3 linked regions of the Notamacropus eugenii genome follow. The protein of the gene in region 2 interacts with the protein of the main gene of each other region in a biochemical or structural test. Links are inferred from orthologs where the notes say so. Each region holds a gene or a part of one and is shown on either strand. Other genes may lie near its edges. The genes, in order: BOLA1, GLRX5 and BOLA3.

Region 1 (6,479 bases), on a different chromosome or scaffold from region 2:
TTATACCCCTCTAATCCAGTGACACTGGCTTCTTTGTTATTCTTTGAACAAGACACCCATCTCTACACTCCTTGCATTTTTTACTGGCTGTCTGTCTCCCCATGTCTGGAATGCTCTCCCTCCTCACCTTCTGGCACTCTTCAATTCTCAACTAAAATCCTACCTTCTGTAAGCAGCCTTTCTCCATCGTCTTTAATGTTAGTGTCTTGCGTCTGAAATTATCTCCTGTTTCCTGCCTATATCTTATTTGGACATAGTAATTTGCATCTTGGCTCTCCCACTAACTTGTGATCTCACTGAGGACAGACTATTTTTGGCCTTTCTTTCTATACCCAGCATTTAGCAAAGTGATAATAACTAGCATTTATATCATGCCTACTGTGTGCTGTGTTTTACAAATATCATCCCATTTAATCCTCACAATAACTCTGAGAGGGAGGTGCTATTATTATCTCTATTTTACAGTTAAGGAAAATTAAAGAAGAGATTAAGTGACTTGCCCAAGATCACACAGATGTGAATGTGAATCTTCCAGACTCCAGGTCCACTGCTCTATCCACTTGCGCCTAGTTTCCAGTGCCTGGCACAGAACATGCACTCAAATGTTTGTTGACTTGATATGGTCTCCCTAGTAATCAGTCATTTTACTTCTGTGAACCTGTTCTATCTGTAAAATGAATATAATGTACAGTGTGCCTACTTTAAGTTTATTATGAAGTTTGAAATCAATATATAACACACTTTTGTAAGCTTTCATTTCTAAATCAATGCCAGCCATCCTTCCTTGGTGTCAGTACCAAGATATCACCTTGCCCATAAGCAGGGGTTCAGATGAATTAACCAGCGGCATTTCTCTGAGCCACAGGGATAAAGCGCCACGTAACAGTCCTTTGAGTGCCTACACTATGGGACATTACTTTCTCAGCTCAGTTTCACAATCACAAAGACACGGTCAGACACAACCACATTTTTATTTTGGAAGGGCAGGCCCTAATCAAGGTCAGTCACTCTCTTCCTCCCACATATCTAGAATACACGTGTTCTCTCTTCTCCAAGGTCTCAGGAGACACCACGGAGGTCTTTCTTATTCCCACCTCGGCAGGCGGGGCTGACGTCTAGCTTGGGGTTCTCTCTCCACTGGGCAGGGGTCCGGGCTTGGATGGCCAGCGCATGCACAGGCCCAGCAAGTTCTTCAGCCAAGGCAGCATGGACCAATCTGTGGCGCTGTAGGGGGCTCAGCCCTTCGAAGCGGGAGCTCACCACGGCCACTCGGAAATGGGTCTCGCTCCCGGGGGGCACCGCGTGGCCACTGCTCTCATTACGAAGCTCCAGCACCTCTGGGCTCAGAGCCTGCTCCAGCTTGGTTCTTATTGCCGCTTCCACAGGACCCTCCATTCCTACCCTCTTTATGCAGCCACTGGACTGATAGACGCAGACGGACACAGCCCTGGGGGCCAGGAGTCGGACTCGAAGCCCACTTAGCATCAGCTACAGGAAGGATGGGGGAAGGGGAAAGGCAGGGAGGGGGGAAAGGACAAACGGGACTTAGGGACACCCCCACGCAAACCCCGACCTCACCCCTATCCCATCCCCCAAGCCAAGCTCCCAACCGCCCTCCTTCGGGCAGCCCACCCAAACTGCACCCGGCGGGGATGGGGGGGAGTAGGGGGATCCCACCCCATTCTTCTGTGACGTCGAGGAGGAGGGCTACAAAGAGCTCGGGGTGGCAGGGAAGGGGTGCCTAGAACGCAGAGAGCTGGAGGCTGGAGGTAACGAAATGGGGGGAGGTATGGGATGTGGGTGCAGAGAAGGAATGGGAGGGGGCAGAGTGCGTGCGTGCGTGTGTGCGCGCGCGCACTGCGGGGGGGCTGCTGCTGCGGACTCAATGAATGAACGTTGTATTAATTAAGCGCTTACTACGCGCACTGAGCTAAGCTCTGGCTATACAAATCGAACATTCTATTTTCTGGTATTTTCTACGTTCTAATGGCGGCAGGGAATATAGGGAAGGGTTGGGGTGCACGTACTTCAAGGGTGATGTCTGAGCCCACACTGGGTCGGTACCCCTCTTTCTACCTGTCTCTAGAGGTCGATCGCTTCCAACGCTCCTGGCTTCGTGACGCCCGCCCTGTTCCTACTTTTGCGGAGGACGCACGGGGGATTGGAGTCCCGGTTTCGGAGGCATGCCGGGAAATGGAGTCCTTATCCTCTCATTGGAGAGCGGGCGTGGGGCAAGGTTACCAAATTCCCGACATGCCGCGTAACCAGCGTCCTGAGCATTCATGGGGGTTGTAGTTCCCCCTCCTCCTTTGAGTTTCAGTTGAGCCTACAGTCAACAGAGGCTGGATGGGAGAGCTGGGTCTTCGTGAAAGAGGATCAGTTACAGTGTATTCGATTGAACTGTTTCCCTCTCCTTAGCAACAGCCCAATACTCAATTCCTTAACCAGAGACAGACGACAGGTAGTGTTGTAAATCCTTTATGCGTACCAAGAACGTCACCTTGCACACACACACATATGCATGTATGTGCCTATATGTGTATATATATGCATGCATGCGAATATATACTTATATGTATGTATGTTGTATGTAGTCAGGGGTTCAAATGAATGAATCATTGATCAAATAGCTCTCCCAAATTGCACCTGGTAGTGGGAAGACTTACTGGTATTCAGTCCCCTTCATCCTGAACCACAGGGAACTGAGGCACAGCATGGGAAAGGTAAGAATAGAGAAATAAGGAACTTGGCCTCAAGCTTGCCAATTCCTGGATTACCTTGATTCTTTAAAGGTACTTCTAACCCCATAAAGTTCTAGGCTCCTGATGGAAAATCCTTTGATTATTTTGGGAAAAAACAAGAATAAAGCCCAATATTGCTCACATTCTCCTAAGGAGAAGACTAAATATAATTACTATAAGATAATGGTTATAAGGGACCTTAGAGAGCTAATCCCTACTCTTGACATATCAGAGAACTGAGGCTTTGAAAAGTGACATGATTTATCTAAGCTCCCACAACTGGTTTAGTTTGGAGCTAGGACTAGAATTCTGGTCTGATTCCCAGGTCAGGGGCTCATTTCCTACACCATGCTATCTTACCTCTAGAGTGTCTACCTCTAGAGTTTTACTTCTCCCTAACACAAGGACACGGCAAAATACTTAATAATCTTAGCTCATTTATGTTGTGCAGTTTGTAAACTGTTAAGGTAAGCAGTACAAGTAATTAGTATCTCCATTTTATAGATAGTTGAAGAAAAAGAAGCTCAGAGATTAAATGCCTTGTCCTTGGTCACACAGCAAGTAAGTATATGAGCTGGGTTGGGAATCTGAAAGCCTTCTGACATCTAGGTTTCTACCATACTATGCCAACCCTATGTCAGCCCTGAGATACATTCACATTGCTCCTTGTATATATGTATTGTTTGCCTCATTAGAATGTAAATGTTTTTCTTTGTATTCTCTTCTGTAGTTAATAAAGACAAGGAAGTAGTCTTTATTAAGTTATTAGAATTAATTTGTGATCAGGAGATCATAACCTCTTTTATGGTTATGGGTTGAATGCAAAGTGATATGGTTCTGCCACTTCTTTTCTGACTTCTCTGGTTTCCATCACTACTATCAAATCAAAGGAGGATTAGGAATCTCAGATTTTATTTTGAAGGATATTCTAACTGGAGACACAAGAATGGGGTGGGGGAAGATACAGAATGGCTTCATATTTGAATCCAGCCAGACTATTAATAAATAATACTACTAACAGTTGAAAACTCACATTTAGATGGTGCTTTCAGGTTTACAAAATGTCTTTTTTTTTTTTTTACAATAGACCTGTGAAATACCCCAAAATGGTAGGATATGTTGGAATAGAGAACATCCTATATAATAATTGGGATATGTAACAATTCTATCCATGATGATCCCTTCAGTCACCTTTGTATGTATTAGCCCCAAGTTTTAAAATGATAATTGTTCTTATTAGTGTAGCACTTCGAAGTTTGCAAAGCATTATTTGTTCCTCACAAGGACTCTGTGAGATGGGTGCTATTATCAACACCATTTAATGGATGAGAATACTGAGGTTCAGAAGGGCTAAGTAATTTGATGCAGGTCACTCAGTTACCAAGAGCAGGAAGCAATATTTGAGTGTGAATCATTCAAATGCAGGCTTTCCTGACTGTAAACCCAAAACCATCCACTATGCCAGAATCTGTCTTTTATGACCCAATATTCCAAGTTCTGTATTTACACAGGTGGTATTCAGTCTTTGATATCCTCAGAATTTCTACCAGGAAACTCAGAATATAGCTTATATCTAGGTCTCAATAGTTTTGGTATCAACAGAATTTTCAGGGTCCTTGCTAGCTACTGACTAACTAAGCCAGCACAGTAGACAGACAGGCAAGTAAAGTACAGTTTGTCCGCTCAAGAGTGTGACACATACCATCAGTAGGTGATGGACATATGCGTGCACACACACACACATACACACACAACACGCATGCATTATTTTGTTGCTGTCATTTCTGACTTTTCATGAGCCTATTTGGGGGTTTTCTTGGAAAAGATACTGGAGTGATTTGTCATTTTCTTCTCTAGCACATTTTACAGATGAGGAAACTGAGGCAAACAGGGTTAAATGACTTGTCCAGGGTCACATATCTAGTAAATGTCTGAGGTCAGATTTGAACTCAGGTCTTCCTGATTCCAGGCCTGGCTGTTCTTGCACACACACACACACACACACACACACACACACACACACTTTTCCCCCCTTTTTACCTGAGCTATATGACCTACCTATCAAGAGCTTTTCCTCTTCTTCTTCTTTCTTTTTCTCTCCTCCTTCTTCTCCTTTTCTGTCTATGTGGGGAGTGATACCCTTATATGTGGGTGCTTTGTACAAAGGACTATAATTTTTGAACATTTGTACTTCACAAAGTATCTTGGGGTTTGGGGACTAGATCCCCTCATTTATTCATCATTTTTTTTTTCAAGAAGCTGGGACAATTAACTCTTTGTTTCATGGAGTCTTCATTTATTATTTCTTGAAATATAGCTCTGAAAAAACAGACTTTTAAAAAGCCCATTGAAATTCAAATGGAGCCACTTGACTGTGCTTATAAATCCATATCACTCTGGCTTTCATTGATTAGCCAATAATAGATCCCAGCCTAAGCCTCTTTTGCTCGTTGCTTGGGTTTTGATGATTCAGAGTAAGTGTAAATAGCAATTGTTTTCTGTTCTGGTCAGTAACTCTTCCTCTTTTGGGCTGATTCTTTTGTGATGGCAAACTAGGTGATAATCATTTAATATCACTTTTGGACTTTAGTAAGGGTCAGACCTTGAATTAATCAGTCAGAAGAAGAGCCTGGACCTAACAGTCTCTTTGTTCTCTGAAGTAAACTCAGAGAATGCCTCTTCTTCTGTCCACAAGGTCAGATGAGGCTGACTTACCATACTTTATGAGACCCCTAACTGGAGACACTATCTTGAATAGTAGGACTTTTTCCTTATCTTAATATTTTGTGGAGATATCCTGGGTATCCTGGGTCATAATTTCAATTGACATTTTCTCAACTCTCTTTTATTATTGTATTTACAACCTATTCAATTAAAAGAATTCCTTTCTCATGATACAGTGAATCACATGTAGAGGCCATAAATCTGAGGGACACAGACATCTTTGGATTCTCCTAAAACAGATTTACACCTGATCATTCTTGTATTAGTCAGTCAGAGGTTTCCTTCTGGCCCCAAGATCATGTAACTGCTAGCTTTAAGGGAATAAACAATATAAAATTAGTCTGTTTGCCTCTTTTAACCAAATTTTCAGGTTGACATAGGCCATCTTTTGTCTCAATTTTTACCTAGCTCTTAATTACTGAATGGATCAGACAACCTGAAACCTGGGAAAGATTTAGCTTAAAAAGGCCTAGGCTTCCCACCATACCCTGTCTTGACTTATGTCTTGCCACTGGACTTGGATAACTCTGGAGGAGAGAGTGAGGCTGACTTTGAGTAGCTCTGCCTCACTTAAATCCAATCCACATGGAAGACATCACCCTCCTGATGTCATTGGTCCTCTCTGAGAATGAAGGATGACCTTATGAGAATAGCAGAAAAGAAGATATGTTTATTGTTGGGTAAGATCCAGTAGGGATTCTAGGAATCCACTGCTCTCCAAACTTTCTTGATCATGTACCTAATATGTGTATGTTTATTTATAATTTATATAGTACTGTACCAATAATTATCTATTATAAATTATAATTATAAAACTTACACAAAAATACAAATTAAAAAAGGATGAGATGAAGGTAAAATATTAGATCCTAGAGTCTATAGGTAACCACTAGAGTTTACTGAATAGGTGAATGACATAGTTAAGACTACCATATTAAGAAAATAATTTTGGCGATTATGTAGAAGATAGATGGGAGAGGTAAATGACTTGAGGCAGTGAGAACAATGAGGGGG
Region 2 (7,478 bases):
TAATATCTTAGCTAGCTTGGTCCTCATACAATCCATCACTGGGCCAATATCCAAAACTTGTTCAGCTTTGCCAAAAACTGTGCTCCAATAGGTCAACAAGCATTTATTAAGCATCAGAATACACCAGGCACCATGCTGAGTGCTGGTAAAAAATAATCCCTTCCCTCTAGAAACTCACATTCAAATGGAGAAGACAGCATGTAAAAATAACTAGGATAGATAAGACAGATAACAGATATATACATATATGTGTATTATGTATTGGGTATATTTTATACATGTATATAAGTAAATACATATATGTAGTAGATAAAAAGTAATCTCAGAGGGGAAAGCAATATAGCAGCTGGAAAATCAGGAAAGGCTTCCTGTAAAAGGTGGGATTTGAGTCTTAAAGGAAGCCAGGAAAACAAAAAGACAGCGATGAGAAGGGACAGCAATCCAGGCATGGGGTGCAAAAAGCTGGAACATGGGAGACAGTGTAATGTGTGAGCAATAGTAAGCAAGCCATTGTAGCTGTACAGTGGAATATGTGGAGGGGACAGGAAAGATAGCGTGGGGCCAAGTTGTAAAGAGCTTTAAATGCAAGGTAAATTTATATTTGATACTAGAGGCAAAAAGGAAACCAATGGAGTTTACTGAGGAATGGGGATGGAGAAGGGTGTGCTGGACAAAGACAGAACTAAACTTTAAGAAAATCACTTTGGAAGCAGTGTAGAAGATGGACTGGAAGGGAGAAACTTGAGGCAGGGAGACCAATTAGAAGGTTATTTCAATAATCCAGGTCAGAAGTGATGAAGTACTCAATCAATTAACTATGTTGCAAGATTGACTTATTGGCAGAATAGTGGTGTTTTCAACAGTAATGGCAAAGTTCAAGAAGGGAGGGTTTAGGGGTAAAGATAAGTTCTGTTATGAACACAGTAGTGCTTTAAGGTTTATAAAATGCTTCACACACACATCAGGGTGTCCACAAGGTCAGAGCTATTTTAATAATATCAGGAAAGTTTAATTTAGAATATTGTAAATATCAACAGATTCAACCCACATAAAAGTTCTTTGGGAAGTCCTGAAATCAAAAAGGTTGAGAACTATCCTCACAGAGTCTAGTGTCTGTAGATGAAAATCCAGAAAAGGAGACTAAGAGAGAATGTTCAGATGAGTAGGAGAACCAGGAAAAAGTAATGCAATAAAGGGGAGAATCTTGTAGATGATCAAGTGTCAAATGCTACAGAGAAGTTAAGAAGAATAAGGATTTCAAAAATGTATTTAGATTTGGTAAATAAGAAATCAATGGAGTAGTTTAAGCTGAATGAATCAAGTGAGAGGAAAGGAAGTAGAGTTGTTTAGTGCAGACAGCTTTCTCAAGGAGCACTTTTCTCAAGCAAGCACTTCAGCCAAGCACAGTAAGATCAATTGAGGGTATTTTAAGGAAAGGAGATATTTTGTAGGCAGTGAGGAAGAATCAGAATCTTGAAGGAAGTCAGAATGTGGAAATAAGGAGGAAAAGTACGTGAGGCATGGGGGACAGCAAGAGAAAAGCTACACAGTTGGGAGGGAGACTGTCATAGCTGAGAAACAGCAAGAAGGTTGGTGTTCCTAGATCACAACAGCACATGGAAAGGCGTAAAGTGTAAGAAGATTGGGAAGTTAAGAGGGGGCTAAGTTGTGAAGGGCTTTAAAAGGCAAACAGAGTATTTTTATCTGAATCCTGGAGGTAAAAGAGAGAGCCACTGGAGTTATGGGGGTGCAGGGCAATATGGGAAGACCTGAAGGAGAGAAACAAACCAACAGGATATTGTAGTAGTCCAGGTGATGAGGGCCTGCACTACATGGCAACTGTCTGAAAAAAAGCAGACATAGAGAAGAGATGCAGTGAAGGCTGAAACGCCAAAATCTGATAACAGACTGTGTGAGATGAATTCAAGTAGAAAGTAACAGAGCTTTCCAGTTTTATTTCAGAGTTCTCCTTTATATAGTCTTCATTCTAGGCAAACTGAACATTAACTAGTTCTTTCCTGAACTCAGCATTCTGAGCTTCTACAGAATCACAGATTTAAGGCTGGAAGAAGAGTTGAAAGGCCTGTCAGGTCCTTCACAAGGAACTAAGGTCCAGAGGGGTTAAGTGACTTGCCAAAGTTTTATTATGTTATAAGGAGTAAATTTGAGGTTTGAGCCCAGGTCCACTCAAAATTCAACATTTTTTCCACAAGTTATCTCCCATGCTGGAATAAATTCCCTCTTCATTTCCATTAATCCATATTTTATCTTTCTCCAAGAAGCTTGCCTGGACCCCCCTACCATTTACTTTTCTGTTTATGTTTCGACTCTCAGTGGGATATAAGCTCAACTGTATTGTTAGATATCCTGAGACCACAACCATAACTTCATGAAACTTCTGCTTTTCTAGTGTAACTACATTAATGCTAGTAGGTCATACACGATGTTCATGACAAATAACAGACCTAGGGCAAGTCTTAATGGAACTTAAAGTAAAAGACTGATGGAACACGAAATTGTAAGCTCCACAACAGTACACTTCCTCTAGCTTTTTAAAAAAAAAATCTTTCCCAGTGCTTAACAGTAACAACAGTAGTGGTAATAATAATAGTGACAACCAGTATTCTACATAGAGCTTACTAAGCACTTTACAATTATTATCTCATTTGGTCCGAAAAACAACCCCCGAGGCAGGTGCTGTTATTATCCCAGTTCACAGAGGAGAACACGGACGCAGCCAAGCGTCGGAGGCCGCCTCTGGACTTCGCTCCAGAAAATCCAGCCTCAGGGCCGAGGGCCCGGGCCGGGCTCCCTAGGGAGGCCTGCTCAGCATGGAGGCAGCACCAAGTTAGGAAGTCGGGAAGGTCCCAGAGACCTCGGATCGATACCACCGTCAACAACAGGCGGCATTCATGCCAATCACCTGGTAGCCGCCAGACTGCGGGAAGCTGCGGTCTCGGACACCGCCCCGCCCCCTCCCCCGGCAGTGCTGGACCCGGGCACCCCCTTTTCTCCTCCCCCACCCTCATTCCAGAAGCTTATCAATGTCCCGTGAGCGCGAGGAACCCGAGGCGAGGAGGAAGGGGCCTGGCTCCCAGCAGCTCGGGCCCCGCTCGCGACCCTTCGATCCCGCCTGACCTTGACGGAGGTCGGGATCGTCCAGCACGTTGTAGGCCGCGTAGTTGGAGACGCCGTGCAGCCGCAGGATCTGCACCACGGCGTTGCTGAAGCCGCACTGGGGCTCCTGGGGGGTCCCCTTTAAGAACACCACCACTTTGTCCTTCTTCACGAGAGCATCAAGATGCTCCCTGGAGGCCGAGCCCGACCCCCCGGGGCCCGAGCTCTGAGTCCGCAGTGCCGGACCCCGCAGGAGGAAGCCGCGCCCCAACTGGAGCAGAGCTACAGACACTCGGCCTAAAGACCCGCTCATCTCCCGCAGCCACACGTCCTCCCGACCCAGAACTAGGGAACCGTTCCTCGGTCCCAGCACCCGCGCCTCCTTGTCCCGCCCCCCAGCTGTGGCTCCATTGGTCAAAGATTTGAGAACAAATGTGGATTAGAAGAAGTTTACCTGTCAGTCCTTGGAAATGACCAATCATTTCACTGGGCCCCTGGCGGGGGGCGGGGATAAGAGATGGTGTACAGTCTCTACGCCTTCCACCACGCTCCGCCGTTTTTCTTTCGCCTATTGATAACCTATTTTTACGTCGATTGGCGGTCCCAGGTGCCCGTCGGTCAGGATTGGAAGCCAGTGATACGTAACAAGGGAGAATAAAGATTTTCCTGCGAAAAAACTGGTTGGCTGGGTTATTTGGGGGGCGGGCTGTGGGAGGATCGAGAAAACTTTGTTTTCAGTTTTAACCAACTTCTCAGGAGGGGCGGGAGAAAGAGACGGTGCTGACCGCGTGTACGCCATTTCCTGTAACCGGTTCTTCCTTTTCCGGTTGATGATGACTTGGAGTTGTCATGGTAATGCGGCCCGTGAGGCCTCGGGCCTGCGGACCGGGCGGGAAAGGAGGAGAGGAGAGGCGCGTGCTCCGTCTCCATCTCTTTGCAACTAAGGTTAGTCGTTTTCGGGGCCCGGAGGAGGCGATGAAAGGGACGGGGGCAGCGTGTCTGGACTGCAGTGCGGGGGGCTGGGCCATTCCCTGACCGCGGCGGTCGGCCCTGCGCGAGCCCGGCCCCTTCTTCCTGGCATCCCGCCCTCGTGCGCAGGCTGGGGCGCCCCCTGGTGGTTGGAGCTTCCTTCTGGCCTGCGGAGGAGGAACCCTTCGGGCTAGTGCACGGTCACGTGGCGGACGCCCGCGGGGCGTGAGGATAGGTCTTCCGGATCTCAGGTGAAGTAACTGAGGCCCACAAGCTCCCGTCACCCCTCTGTTCCAGCCCCTAATCCCTTGGATTAGGTCCCAGCCGCCTCGTGGCAGTAACCTCCCTTCCACCCCAGTCCTTGCTCTGCTTAGCCGACCAAATGCTTTCCCTAAAGCCCGGGGCTGATAGTGTAGGCATTCAGGAAATTTGGGTGCTTCCCTTCTTGCCTCCTGGATAAAATATATGGAAATATATATAGATATATATATTACAATATACTACATATGTAACATATGCATATATGATTATATAGAGAGAAAAATACATAGAAAAAATTTTGTTTCCTCTTGTTCTACTTTCAAAGCCCTTCATGACTTGGTCCCAACCTGCCTTCCCATCCTCCTTATGCAGTACTCTCCAGACTCCACCGGGCTTGCTTGCTTTCTGTTCTGCTCTCATCACCTTGCCTTTGCCCTGGCTGCCCCCATGCCCAGAATCCACTCCCCCACCTTCACCTGGAATCCCTGTCCTCAAGCATCACCTGCATGAAGCCTTCCCCAGTTCTTAAAGTTACTAGTCCTCTCCTTCCCTCCTCTACTGAATTAGCCCCGCATTTATTTTGGACATGTTTATCCTTTATATGTATTTGTGTACGATCACATACACACACGTAATGAGTATGAATATATAAACAATAGATACAGATAGATATCTGTCTATAGATAGACTTACGTGTTGTTTCTCCTGGTTGAACTCAAATTCCTTGATAACAGGGACTGTTATATTTCTTTGCCTTTGTGTCTGTAGCATCTAGCACAGTGCCTGGCACATAGGCAATTAAATGTTTGCTGACTGGGGTTACATTGGCAATGAGTAATATGACAGGGGTCTAATAACCAATCTTATGGCTCTAGAATCAGTGCTCCGTATATTGCCTTCATATCCTCTGCCTGATCAAGTCAAGCCACGAATCCAGCATGGCTCCTTTTGTTCATTTTAGAGCAGAACTTCAAATTTTCCTAATTTCAGTTTTTAATTGTTATTTTTTTCAGGTTTGAGTGGCAGGGTTTAATTCAAGGAATAAAAATCATAACCATGCCTTTCAAGTTCTCTCACTGTGGAATTAACTCCAAATTGGCCCAGTTATGGAAGAAACATTGAGTAAAAGCAATTGATAATAGGAAAGGGCAGGTATAGAATTTTTTTACTCTTTTTAATTATTTGGGTTATATATGACTGTAAAGGATGTTTAATTTTGTTTGTACTATGTGTCCAGGGCCATAAGTGAAACCCACAGGAAAGGAACTCCAGAAAAGATAGGGCTTTTTCTGAAATTTTGAACAACAGACATGAGAATTTAAATATATGCCACTAATTGGTGCAGCTCATAAATTTATTGTTCCCCTTTCTGCCTAACATCAGTAAGTGATTCTGAGAAGAACATTTTTAAGTAAAACAGTTTTGGGGGCAGTGCCAAAGAAACAGTATTATAAACGGTCTGTTCATTTTCAGATAGCATTCTGTTACCATGTCTTGCTTTGTGCATTAGGGTGATGGGGCAGGAGAGTCCAGATGAGATAGGTCTTAAACTCCAGGTCTTCCTGACACCAAGGCCAGTGCTCCATCAACTATACTATGCTGCCTTTCTAGTTTGGTTATTATTCAGTTTCAAGAAATATTTGTTAAGGGTCTCTGTATTCCTGCTGAGTGCTGTAGGGAAAAGGGGAAGATTTGAGATTGAGATAAAAGACAATTTCTACCAAAGTGGAGCTTGCAGTCCAATAAAGGTCTATAACTCAGGTATATTAAGAATACTGTCATGAAGGAATTTGATCAGGATATTTCAATAGGACTTTTGTAATCTTTAGTTCATCCCTTAGCACTTAAGATCCTTTACAAAAATGTCTTAATTGTCTGCAGTCTTGGAATGCTCTGGGTTGGTTGTGCCCCTGAGTACACCTGACTTGCAGAAAGAACATATTCCAGAGGAAGCTGAGGCATGGCTGTTAAAGGACGAACAGCATTATGTGCAATATTCCTCTGACACCAACTGAATACTGTTGCCACGGTGATGGTGACTCTTCCATGTCATTATCTATCAACCAACAGTAAGAGAAGCATTGCAGTCAAGATATTGTTTAGCAAATGGAGAAATTTTTGCTGAACACTAAAAACTGCGATAAAAATGTTTAAAACCTCTAATGTTCTTTTAAAGAACATTTTTGTATCTAAATATGTTAGTGCTGTAAGGGACCTTGGAGATAATATAGTTCAACTTCTCATTTGTACCTGGAGAGATGAAATAAAACTGCTTAAATTCATACCTGGCTAAATGGCAGAGCCTGAACTTAGAACTTCAGTTTAAGTCTACTCCACCTCCAGTTATCTTGCCCATACCATGCTACTTTTGTTATTTTTTTTAACTGAAACATTGATTTAACTAGTTTCAGATGCTGTTGGCAATTCTTTAATAAACCCCTTCCTGGAAATTGATCCAAAAACACTGAAAATAAATTACAGTTCAATTATATTGAATATTTCAAGACTTTTGTTAATGAAAAGTTCTGTAGAGGCAGCATGGTGTAGTGTGAGTAGAGTGCTGGGTTTTGAATCTATGAGACCTGGATACAAATGCTACTAACAAGGGTGAGGCCTGCCCTGCTCCCCTGCCCCCCAGCAACTTTCATGTGCCTCTTGATAATTCTCTAGAATCATAGCCTTAGAGCTATAAGAGACTTCACAGGCCATTGAGCCGAACCCAGTATTCTTATAGATGAAGAATCTGAGGTACAGGAGAGTTAAGTGACTTTCTCATAGTTTCAAATGCATGAGGGTCTCCTTATCTACTAGATCATTGATGAGTTAACTGTCTTGGTGAAGAAGGAACTCTCTTTGTGTATTTATGTATTCCATGTCTGTCACTCTTGCTTCTGCTAATTTTAGGCTACAAACTTGTATAAATTGCATGATGTCTTAAATCATTTTTTCTGTGTCTTAAGTAATTTTTTGTGGTTTTTCTTTTTCAGGTTCAAATGATTCAGGGTAAATCCAAGGAACAATCATCAATATATGTAGAATTGCCTAACGTACTGAAGCTTTACCCTATATGTTTCTTTGTTGGAAGGTTTGTGTACCGTGGATTTAACATTGTCATCTAGAGTACGTTCTTT
Region 3 (8,634 bases), about 390 Mb from region 2:
CCCTCCTCCCTTTTTGTCAAATCACTGATGACTCAAACGTGTGCACACCCAGCCCTCATTCCTCTCAGTCATTCCGGCACCACGTCACCAGCTAGCTGGCTGCTGGACAGCTCCTCCTCCGAGTTCCACATGTTCCACTCAGCCTGTCAGACAGGCAGTCCGCAAACATTAATGAAACACCTACTGTGTGCTCAGCATAGAATGAATCATCTCTCTTCCAACCTTTGCCAACTCCAATTGCCAACACTGGCACTCCAATGGCAAACATCCTTATTTTTGAGGACGGCAAGACTACTCTCCAAATCAAACACTCATGAAGAATTTACCATGTGCCAAGCACTGTGGATCCAAGAAAGCAAAACAAAAGCCTGCCCTCAATGAATTTCCATTTGAATAGGGATAGATAACTGAGTACAAACATGCTCCAATAGGGAGTGGGTGGAAGGGAACCTCAGAGGCTCCTAACCCGGAGGGCATCTTTTTAGCTCCCATTTCATCAATTATTAATCAACAAGTATTAGTAAACACCACAAAGCTAACCCTAACCCTGTCCTCAAGAAGCTCAGGTTACATCTACCTTCGGATCCAATCACTGCCCACCCGGACTTGACCTCCAAGATATCTTGCCTAGGTGGGACTTCTTTGTTTCTCTCCATTTATGTTGGTGTTCAGTTGTTTCGGTCATGTCTGACTCTGTGACCCCATGTGGGGGGTCTTCTTGGCAGAGATGCTGGAGTGACTTGCCATTTCCTTCTCCAGCTCATTTTATAGATGAGGAGACTGAGGCAAACAGGGTGAAATGACTTGCCCAGAGTCACATAGCCAGTAAGTGTCTGAGGCTGGATTTGAACTCGGGTCTTCCTGACACCTGTCCTGATGCTCTATGCACTATGGTGTCCCAAGATGATCCTCCTCTCCACTGGCTCTAGCATCAAAAGACTTTGGACAAGTCACTGAGCTTCACTGGGTTTCAGTTTCCTCCTCCATAAAAGGAGGGTTCTGGTCCCTAGAAGACCTCTCAGTTGGGCACACCTTCAACCTGACTGCACCCATGAATGGAAATCCATTCTCCACCAGCTGCTACAGGAATCTGGCCATATAATTCTCCTAATCAAAAACCTTTCTGGAATTCCCTAGATCTAGACTAAAGCAAATTCTATGGCATCTCTGTGGCTTCCCACAAATTCCATGGCATTTCTGTGGCTTCCCATGTTGGGCTCCCACTGGCTGTGTGACCCTGGGCAAGTGTCATAACCTAAGCCCTGACCTTGCAAAGGAGGTGTTGACTTGTACTAGTAGAGGGAAGTTCCTCCCCTGGGAGTTCTCTACACCAACAAGATACTAGGTTGCCTCCCTCCCTTATCCCTTGGGTGGCACCTAAGGTCCTCTGCTATCCTGACAGGATTCTCCTCAAGCCCTCCATGGCCCAGCCATACTGGGGGAGGGAGGTGTACATCATTCATGAACTCATCAGCCATCTCTTGCCTCCCTAAGTTCATAGGCATGACATGTGTCCCCCACTGTCCTGCCACCACTTCCTGTGATGCTCCCCTGATGCTCCAGCTGGCCTTCCTTTGTCCACATCTTTTTCCATGTCCACACAGGCCATCAATAGTGCCCCCACAAAATGTCAGTTCCCACAGGCAGGGTCTGTGTGGGTTTTGTCTCTGTATCCTCAGGGTCTAGCATTATGCAATCAATAAATATGGCTGAATTGAACTAAAGGCTAAGGTACTAAGTTGGGACTCTCCTCAGGAGGCACAATGGGGAGTCACAGATTTCTGAGGACAGGAGTAGCAGCACAGCCTAGGATAGAGTGGGAATCTGGTGCTTGTGTGCCTGGAGAACAACTCTGGGCTAACACTTTACCGCTGCCTATCTTCAGTTTTCTTACCAATCAAGCTGCAAGCATTAAACATCTACTGCATACCAGGCACTGTGCTAACAATAAATGAACCATGGGGAAGTCACCACACACAGATAGAGGGCTACTCTTCTGTATCATCCCCCTCCCAGCACCATCTTTGCACTGGCTGTCCCCCACAGTAGAATGCACCTCTTCTCCCCACCCCCCAACCTCCTGAATCCCTTTCCTCCCTCCCTTCAAGTCACAGCTCAAGCACCACCTTTTTTAGGGCCTTCCCTCCCATAATCATTTTCCATGGCAGGGCCAAGACCTGAATTCGAGTTCTGACAGTGAGACTGTAGGCAAGTCATTAACTTCTCAGGGCTCCAGGGGGGTGGAAGAAGTGTTACCTCGCCGGCATTGACACTGGGAGTTTCCTGGACCAGTGAAGTCACAGGGCCAGTCCCGTCCTACCTGTGTGAGCCTGGGCAAGTCACTGATCTCTTAGGCTCGGTTTCCTCATCTATAAAATGGGGGACAATAGCACCTACCTCCCAGGGTAGTTCTGAGAATAAAAAGAGGTATTTGTAAAGCGCTTTGCAAAGGCTGGAGGTCTGTACATGTCGGGTTGCCTGGGAGCTAACCTCCCTTCCTGTCTCCGGGCCTGTGTCCTCCTCTATAAAGCCAGGAAGTCCTTGGGGTCACTGCGGCCAAATTTCAGGGGGGCTTTCTCCCTGGTGTCAGAGACGATCCGTTTGGCTTCCTCCAATACACATTCCCCTCCCCCCCTCCTCTAAGTCTCAGCAAAGACACCCTCCTGTCCCCAATCTTCAGCCTCCGCACCCCATTAGTCTGCTTTAGCTACATCCCCTCCCCCACTCTGAGACTTCGGTCTTCCAGTTCTAGTCTCTGGAGTCACCTTGCCCCTGCTCCGCCCCTCCCCCCAAACGTGACCCCCTCGGAGCCTCGGATCTTTACGCCTTAGGTCGGCGCCCGCCCGTCCCTCTCGTCTCCTCCCTGCTTCATGTCTCATCACTCCCTTCCGCCACCTGAGCCCCCCCTCTCCCAAGGGCCCCTTCCCCGCGTAGGGTTCCCCCTCTCCCTCCGGCCCCCGGCTCTCACCACACCGAGGTTCCTCCCGCAGAGAAGATGAGAAGCCGCCATAACGGGCGCGGGGGCGGGGCGGGGAGAGGCCGTGCGGAGCCTGCGACTCACGCCGGCTCAAAGTCACCCACGCTGGGGAAGGCGAGAGGGCCGGGCCGGGGCCGGGGGCGGGGAGAGAGCCGGCGGCCGAGCCCGCCCTCTGTCGCCTCGGAGGCCGCCCCCTCGGCCGGCCCGCCCGGAGGGGTGGAGGGGCGGGACGGGAGGAGGGGCGAGCACCCCGCGGCGTTCTGGGCCAGTTTGGGCTTCCCCCCGCGGCGGGGCAAAGTCCGTTTCGCGTAGCATGTCTGGAAGCTTCTGCAGGCCAGGTCTCTCCCGGGCTACTCTGCCTCTTCCGGCTCGGATACTCCACGTTCTAAAGTCAGTTTCAGCTTGGATATTCAAGTTCTAAAGTCAGTTTCTGCCCTAGATCTGCGTTCTTTGATTAGTTTCCACTCGGATACTCCACGTTCTAAAGTCAGTTTTGGCTCCTAGGTGTGCGTTCTTTGGTCAGTTTCCACTCGGATACTCCACGTTCTAAAGTCAGTTTCAGCTTGGATATTCAAGTTCTAAAGTCAGTTTCTGCCCTAGATCTGCGTTCTTTGATTAGTTTCCACTCGGATACTCCACGTTCTAAAGTCAGTTTTGGCTCCTAGGTGTGCGTTCTTTGGTCAGTTTCCACTCGGATACTCCACGTTCTAAAGTCAGTTTTGGCTCCTAGGTGTGCGTTCTTTGGTCAGTTTCCACTCGGATACTCCACGTTCTAAAGTCAGTTTCAGCCCCTACGTCTGCTTTCTTTGGTCAACTTCGGCTGGATTTTCAACATTCCAAAGTCAGTTTCAGCCCTGGAGCTCAGTATGCTAACGTCAATTAACTCTAATTAACTGCACCACAGGCCAGGCTCTGTGCTAAGCGCTGGGGACAGAAAGGCAAAAGGCAGTCTCTGTCCAGTGAGGGAGACAACAATCGAACAAATACCTGCAAACAAGCAATAGATGAATCGGAAATAATTAAGAGAGCAAAGGACTAGAAAAGGGAAAGGCTTCTTGTAGAAGGTGGGATTTTAGAGAAATGGATCAGTGGAATAGGTCAGGTACACAAGACGTAATCAACGACTAGAGCAATCTACTGTCTGATAAACACAAACACTCCAGCTTCGGACATAAGAACTCACTATTGGACAAAACCTGGGAAAACTGGAAAATGGCATGGCAGAAACTAGGCATAGACCAACATCTTACCCTGTATACCAAGATAAGATCAATAATGGGTACATAATTTAGACAAACGGTGATAACATCAGCAAATTAAGAAAGCAAGGAATAGTTTGCCTGTCAGATTAATGGAGAAGGGAAGAATTTAGGACTAAACGAGATAAAGAACGTTATGAAATGCAAAATGGATAATTTTGATTATCTTACATTTAAAAGGTTTTGCACAAAACTAATGCAGCTAAGATTAGAAGGAAATGAGAAAGCTTGGCAACTATTTTTATAACCAGTGTCATTAATAATGGCCTCATTTCTAAAATATATGGAAAACTGAGTCAAATTTATAGTAATACAACTCATTCCCCAATTTTAAATGGTCAATAGATATGAACAGGCAATTTTCAGATGAAATTAAAGTTATCTACAGTCACATGAAAAATGCTCTAAATCACCATTGATTAGAGAAATGCAAATTAAAACAACTCTGAGGTACTGCCTCATACTTATATAAGATAGGCTAACATGACAAAAAAAGGAAAATGACAAATGTTAGAGAGAATATGAGAAAATTCGAGTACTAATGTACTTTTGGTGGAGTTGTGAATTAATCCAACCATTCTGGAGAACAATTTGGAACTATGCCCAAAGGTCTATGAAACTGTACATACCCTTTGATCCAGCAACACCACTACTAGGTAGTGGCAGCTAGGTGGTGCAGTGGATAGAGCACCAGTGCAGGAGTCAGGAGGACCTGAGTTCAAATCTCACCTCAGACACTTGACACTCGCTAGCTGTGTGACCTTGGGCAAATCATTTAACCCCAATTGCCTGATCCTGGGTCATCTCCAGTCATCCTGATGAATATCAGGTCACTGGATTCAGATGGCTCTGGAGGAAAAGTGAGGCTGGTGACCTACACAGCCCTCCCTCACTCAGAACAAAATCAAGTTCAAGTCATGTCATTATTTCTCTGATGGCATGGTCTTCTTCGGCAACGAAGGACGAACACACCACTACTAGGTTTGTATCCCAAAAAGATCACAACAAAGGACCCACAATGTACAAAATTCTTTATGGAAGCTCTTTTTGTGATGGCAAAATTGGAAATTGAAGGGATGCTCATCAAATGGGGAATGGCTGAATATGTTGTGTATATGAATGTAATGGAATACTACTGTTCTATAAGAAATGGTGGTCTTCAGAAAAACCTGGAAAGACACATGAACCGATGTTGAGGGAAATGAGCAGAACCAGGAGATCATTGTGCAGAGTAACAGTCACATTATATGATGACTCCCTTTGATAGACTTATCTCTTCTTAGCAATGCAAGGATCTAAGACAACCCCAAAAGACTCATGATGGAAAATGCGAAAATAGATTTAATATGAAGGCACATGTTAAGCCTATATCAATTTACATGCCATCTTGGGGTGGGGGGGAAGGGGGAAATGGGGAGAAAATTTGTAATTCAAAATCTTATCGAGGTGAATGTTGAAAATTAAAAATAAATTTTTTTAAAAAAAATGATGAGCAGGCAGATATCAGAAAACCCTGGAAATACATGAACTGATGCCTAGTGAAGTGAGCGAAGAACATTGTACACAGTAACAGTAACATTGTACAATGATCATCTATGATAGACATAGTTCTTCTGAGTAATAAATACAATGATGAAAACAACCCAAAAGACTCATGAGGGAAAATGCTGTCCATGTCCAGAGAAAGAACTATGGAGTCTGAATGAAGACGAAGCATACTATTTTCACTTTTTAAATGTCATTTTGTTGGGTTTTTTGTGTTTTTTCCCTCTTGTTCTGATTTTTCTTTCACATGACTAATGTGGAAATATGTTTAATATGATTGTACATGTATAGCCTATGCTGGGGATGGAAGCTCAATTCCAGGTGGACAGTCTCGGGCGGGTAAAGGTGGGAACTTCTAAATCTTAGAGTTCTCACGAGACCCCCCCAGGAAACGACTGGGAATCGAGGTGAACCGAGCTATCTCGTGTATTTCCGCCTCTTCCCGTGAGAAACGTGATGGGAGAGAGCTCTCCCCGCCCTCGAGATTGTCCCAGATCTGGGCACACTATTGTTATCTAACAGCACGGTATTCAGATGCAAACTATGCTGCTGAAGAGTTTAAGTAGGATCAGGAAAGCCTGAAAGTTCACTTGGCGGAGGGGCGCGGAGCTGACAGGACAGAAGGCTCCGCTTTTCCTCTCTCTTCTCTCCCCTCCCCCTCTCTCCCCACTTATACTTCTACTTCCAATCTCTTATTGTAAGATCTTTGCCTCCTTGGGAGATTCTTCACTCCCTCCTAAGGAAGAATTCCCCTGCACTTGTAACTAGACCCTGAAATAAAGCTCAACCCTTGTTCGACTCTGGAACGTCCTTTCTCTCATACGAGCATCCGGATTGGCCAACCGAAGACCTCGGGAGGTGAGGTAAGGGAAGACTCGGGTAGCCCTCAGGCCTCTAGGCCTGGCAAGCCTATATCAGATTGCTTGACATTTTGGGGAGGGGGCAGAGGAGGGAGGGAGAAAAAATTTAGAACTCAAAATCTTATAAAAGTGAAGGTTGAAAATTTTCTTTACAAGTAATTGGAAAAAAATAAAATACTATTAAGAAAAAAATAGAAGATGGGATTTTTGTTGGGACTTAAAGCTTGGAGGTAGAGATGAGGAGCATTCTAGGCTTCGGGTACAGCCAGAGAAAAATGCCTGAATTGGGGAAATGGAGTATCCTGTTAGGGGAACAGCCAGGCAGAGACCAGTGTCACTGGATCTATTTTTGTCTTAATACTCTGAGTCCTACTGTCAACACATTCTGTGTTCATGAGCCTTCCCAACTCTCAGAGTATGAGGTCTGAAATCCATTCACTTGACACTGTGTTCTGTGTTCTAAAGTCTTCTCCACTTCAGACTCTGCATGTTCCAAACCCTTCCAAGTTCTGGTGTTCTAGAGTTCATTTCAGCTTTGATATTCTGAATTTATTGTCAACTGCCTCCTGGACTATTGCAATAGCTTTCTGGTTGGTCTCCTTGCCTCAAAGCTCTGTAGATACCAGTAGATACCTCCACTCAACTGTCAAAGTAATCTTCCTAAAGCACAAGTCTCACCTATCCCATTCAATAAACTCCAGTGGTTCCCTCTTACCAAAAATAAGTGTGAAATACTGTTTGGCATTCAAAGCCTTTAGTAACCTAACATATTCCTACCTAACTCCTCAGTGCATACTCTTCAAACCAGTGACTGGGTTCCAGGCTGTTCCTGTCACATGGGACTCAGGGCATTTTCACTGGCTGTCCCCCATGCTCAGAACTCTGTTTCTCCTCATCTCTGGCCCCTATTTTTTCCTTGTTCCCAAGTTTCAGCTAAAATCCTGCCTTCTCCAAGAAACCTTTACTGGACCTCCTTAACCCTAGCACTTCACTCTGAGACTACCCCCAATTTAACCTTTCTATATTTTGTCTGTCCACAGTTGTCTCCCTTATGAAACTGTGGACCTTTCTTTGAGTTCCCAGCAGGTAGCCCAGTGCACATAGTAGGTTCTTAATAAATGCTTGCTGTGTTCTAAATGCTCCATCTATTCAGAAGCTTTTTTCCAGTTTGGCCCTCTTCCATTTTAACTTTGAAGCATTGCCTTTTGTGTTCTAAAGCCCTTCTAACTCTGAAACTATGAGTTCTAAAGTCCATTTCAGTTTTGATATTTTGCATTTTATATTCTGGCAGCTAGGTAGCACAGTGCCTGGAACAGTGGGGCTAGGATCAGGAAGACCTGAGGGCAAATTCAGTCTCAGACACTTAGTAACGGCATGACTCTGGGCAAGTCACTTGACCCGGTTTGCCTCAGTTTCCTTGTCTGTAAGATGAGCTGAAGAAGGAAATGGGGAACCATTCCAGAATCTTTGCCAAGAAAACCCCCAAAAGGTGTCATGAAGACTTGGACAGGACTAAAATTGAAACAACTTTTATGTTCTAAAGCTGCTGTGTTCTAGAGCCCTTCCAACCTCTGACACTCAGCATTCTGATATCTAAAGCACTTTTTATGGATCATACTCTCCATTCTAGGGTCTAAGGTACTTTTCTATCCTGACATTCTGTGAGTCATCTTTGCACCTGGATACTCCTGTGAGCTACATAAAGCAGAGTGGTCCCTTGATAATTAGCCACTCAGACTGGACCCATCACTGCCAAGGGTGTCCTAATGGGGTCACAGAATGTTACCCCAACTCAGAAAGATTCTCAGGGTTCATCATAACCAAAATGTAACTGAGTTTCACACTTAGGATATCTCAGGGATCCTTTCCAGCTCTGGGCTTAATTACATTGTAGTCATGTGGGATGCAAAACTGGCTAAACGGCCATGTCCAAAGAACAGTCATTAATGATGTGATATCTAAGCAAGCTCTCAAGGAAGTCAACACTTTCTCT

The links.
Region 1: the proteins of GLRX5 (region 2) and BOLA1 form a complex in vitro, tested with the Homo sapiens proteins (2 studies listed by BioGRID). The link is inferred for Notamacropus eugenii from reciprocal best matches to the Homo sapiens genes GLRX5 and BOLA1.
Region 3: the proteins of GLRX5 (region 2) and BOLA3 form a complex in vitro, tested with the Homo sapiens proteins (4 studies listed by BioGRID and IntAct, with this or other methods). The link is inferred for Notamacropus eugenii from reciprocal best matches to the Homo sapiens genes GLRX5 and BOLA3.

What each region holds. Positions count from the first base shown.
Region 1 is NC_092873.1:303,721,432-303,727,910, reverse strand, and holds BOLA1 (bolA-like protein 1), read right to left. Parts: upstream 2,227-6,479; 5' UTR 2,077-2,226; exon of another isoform or gene 2,028-2,076; intron 1,489-2,027; 5' UTR 1,486-1,488; coding exon 1,060-1,485; 3' UTR 953-1,059; downstream 1-952. UniProt on the Homo sapiens protein: Acts as a mitochondrial iron-sulfur (Fe-S) cluster assembly factor that facilitates (Fe-S) cluster insertion into a subset of mitochondrial proteins. Probably acts together with the monothiol glutaredoxin GLRX5. May protect cells against oxidative stress.
Region 2 is NC_092872.1:363,202,037-363,209,514, forward strand, and holds the start of GLRX5 (glutaredoxin-related protein 5, mitochondrial), read right to left. Parts: upstream 3,524-7,478; 5' UTR 3,431-3,523; coding exon 3,139-3,430; intron 1-3,138.
Region 3 is NC_092872.1:750,684,902-750,693,535, reverse strand, and holds the start of BOLA3 (bolA-like protein 3), read right to left. Parts: upstream 3,286-8,634; 5' UTR 3,011-3,285; coding exon 2,969-3,010; intron 1-2,968. UniProt on the Homo sapiens protein: Acts as a mitochondrial iron-sulfur (Fe-S) cluster assembly factor that facilitates (Fe-S) cluster insertion into a subset of mitochondrial proteins. Probably acts together with NFU1.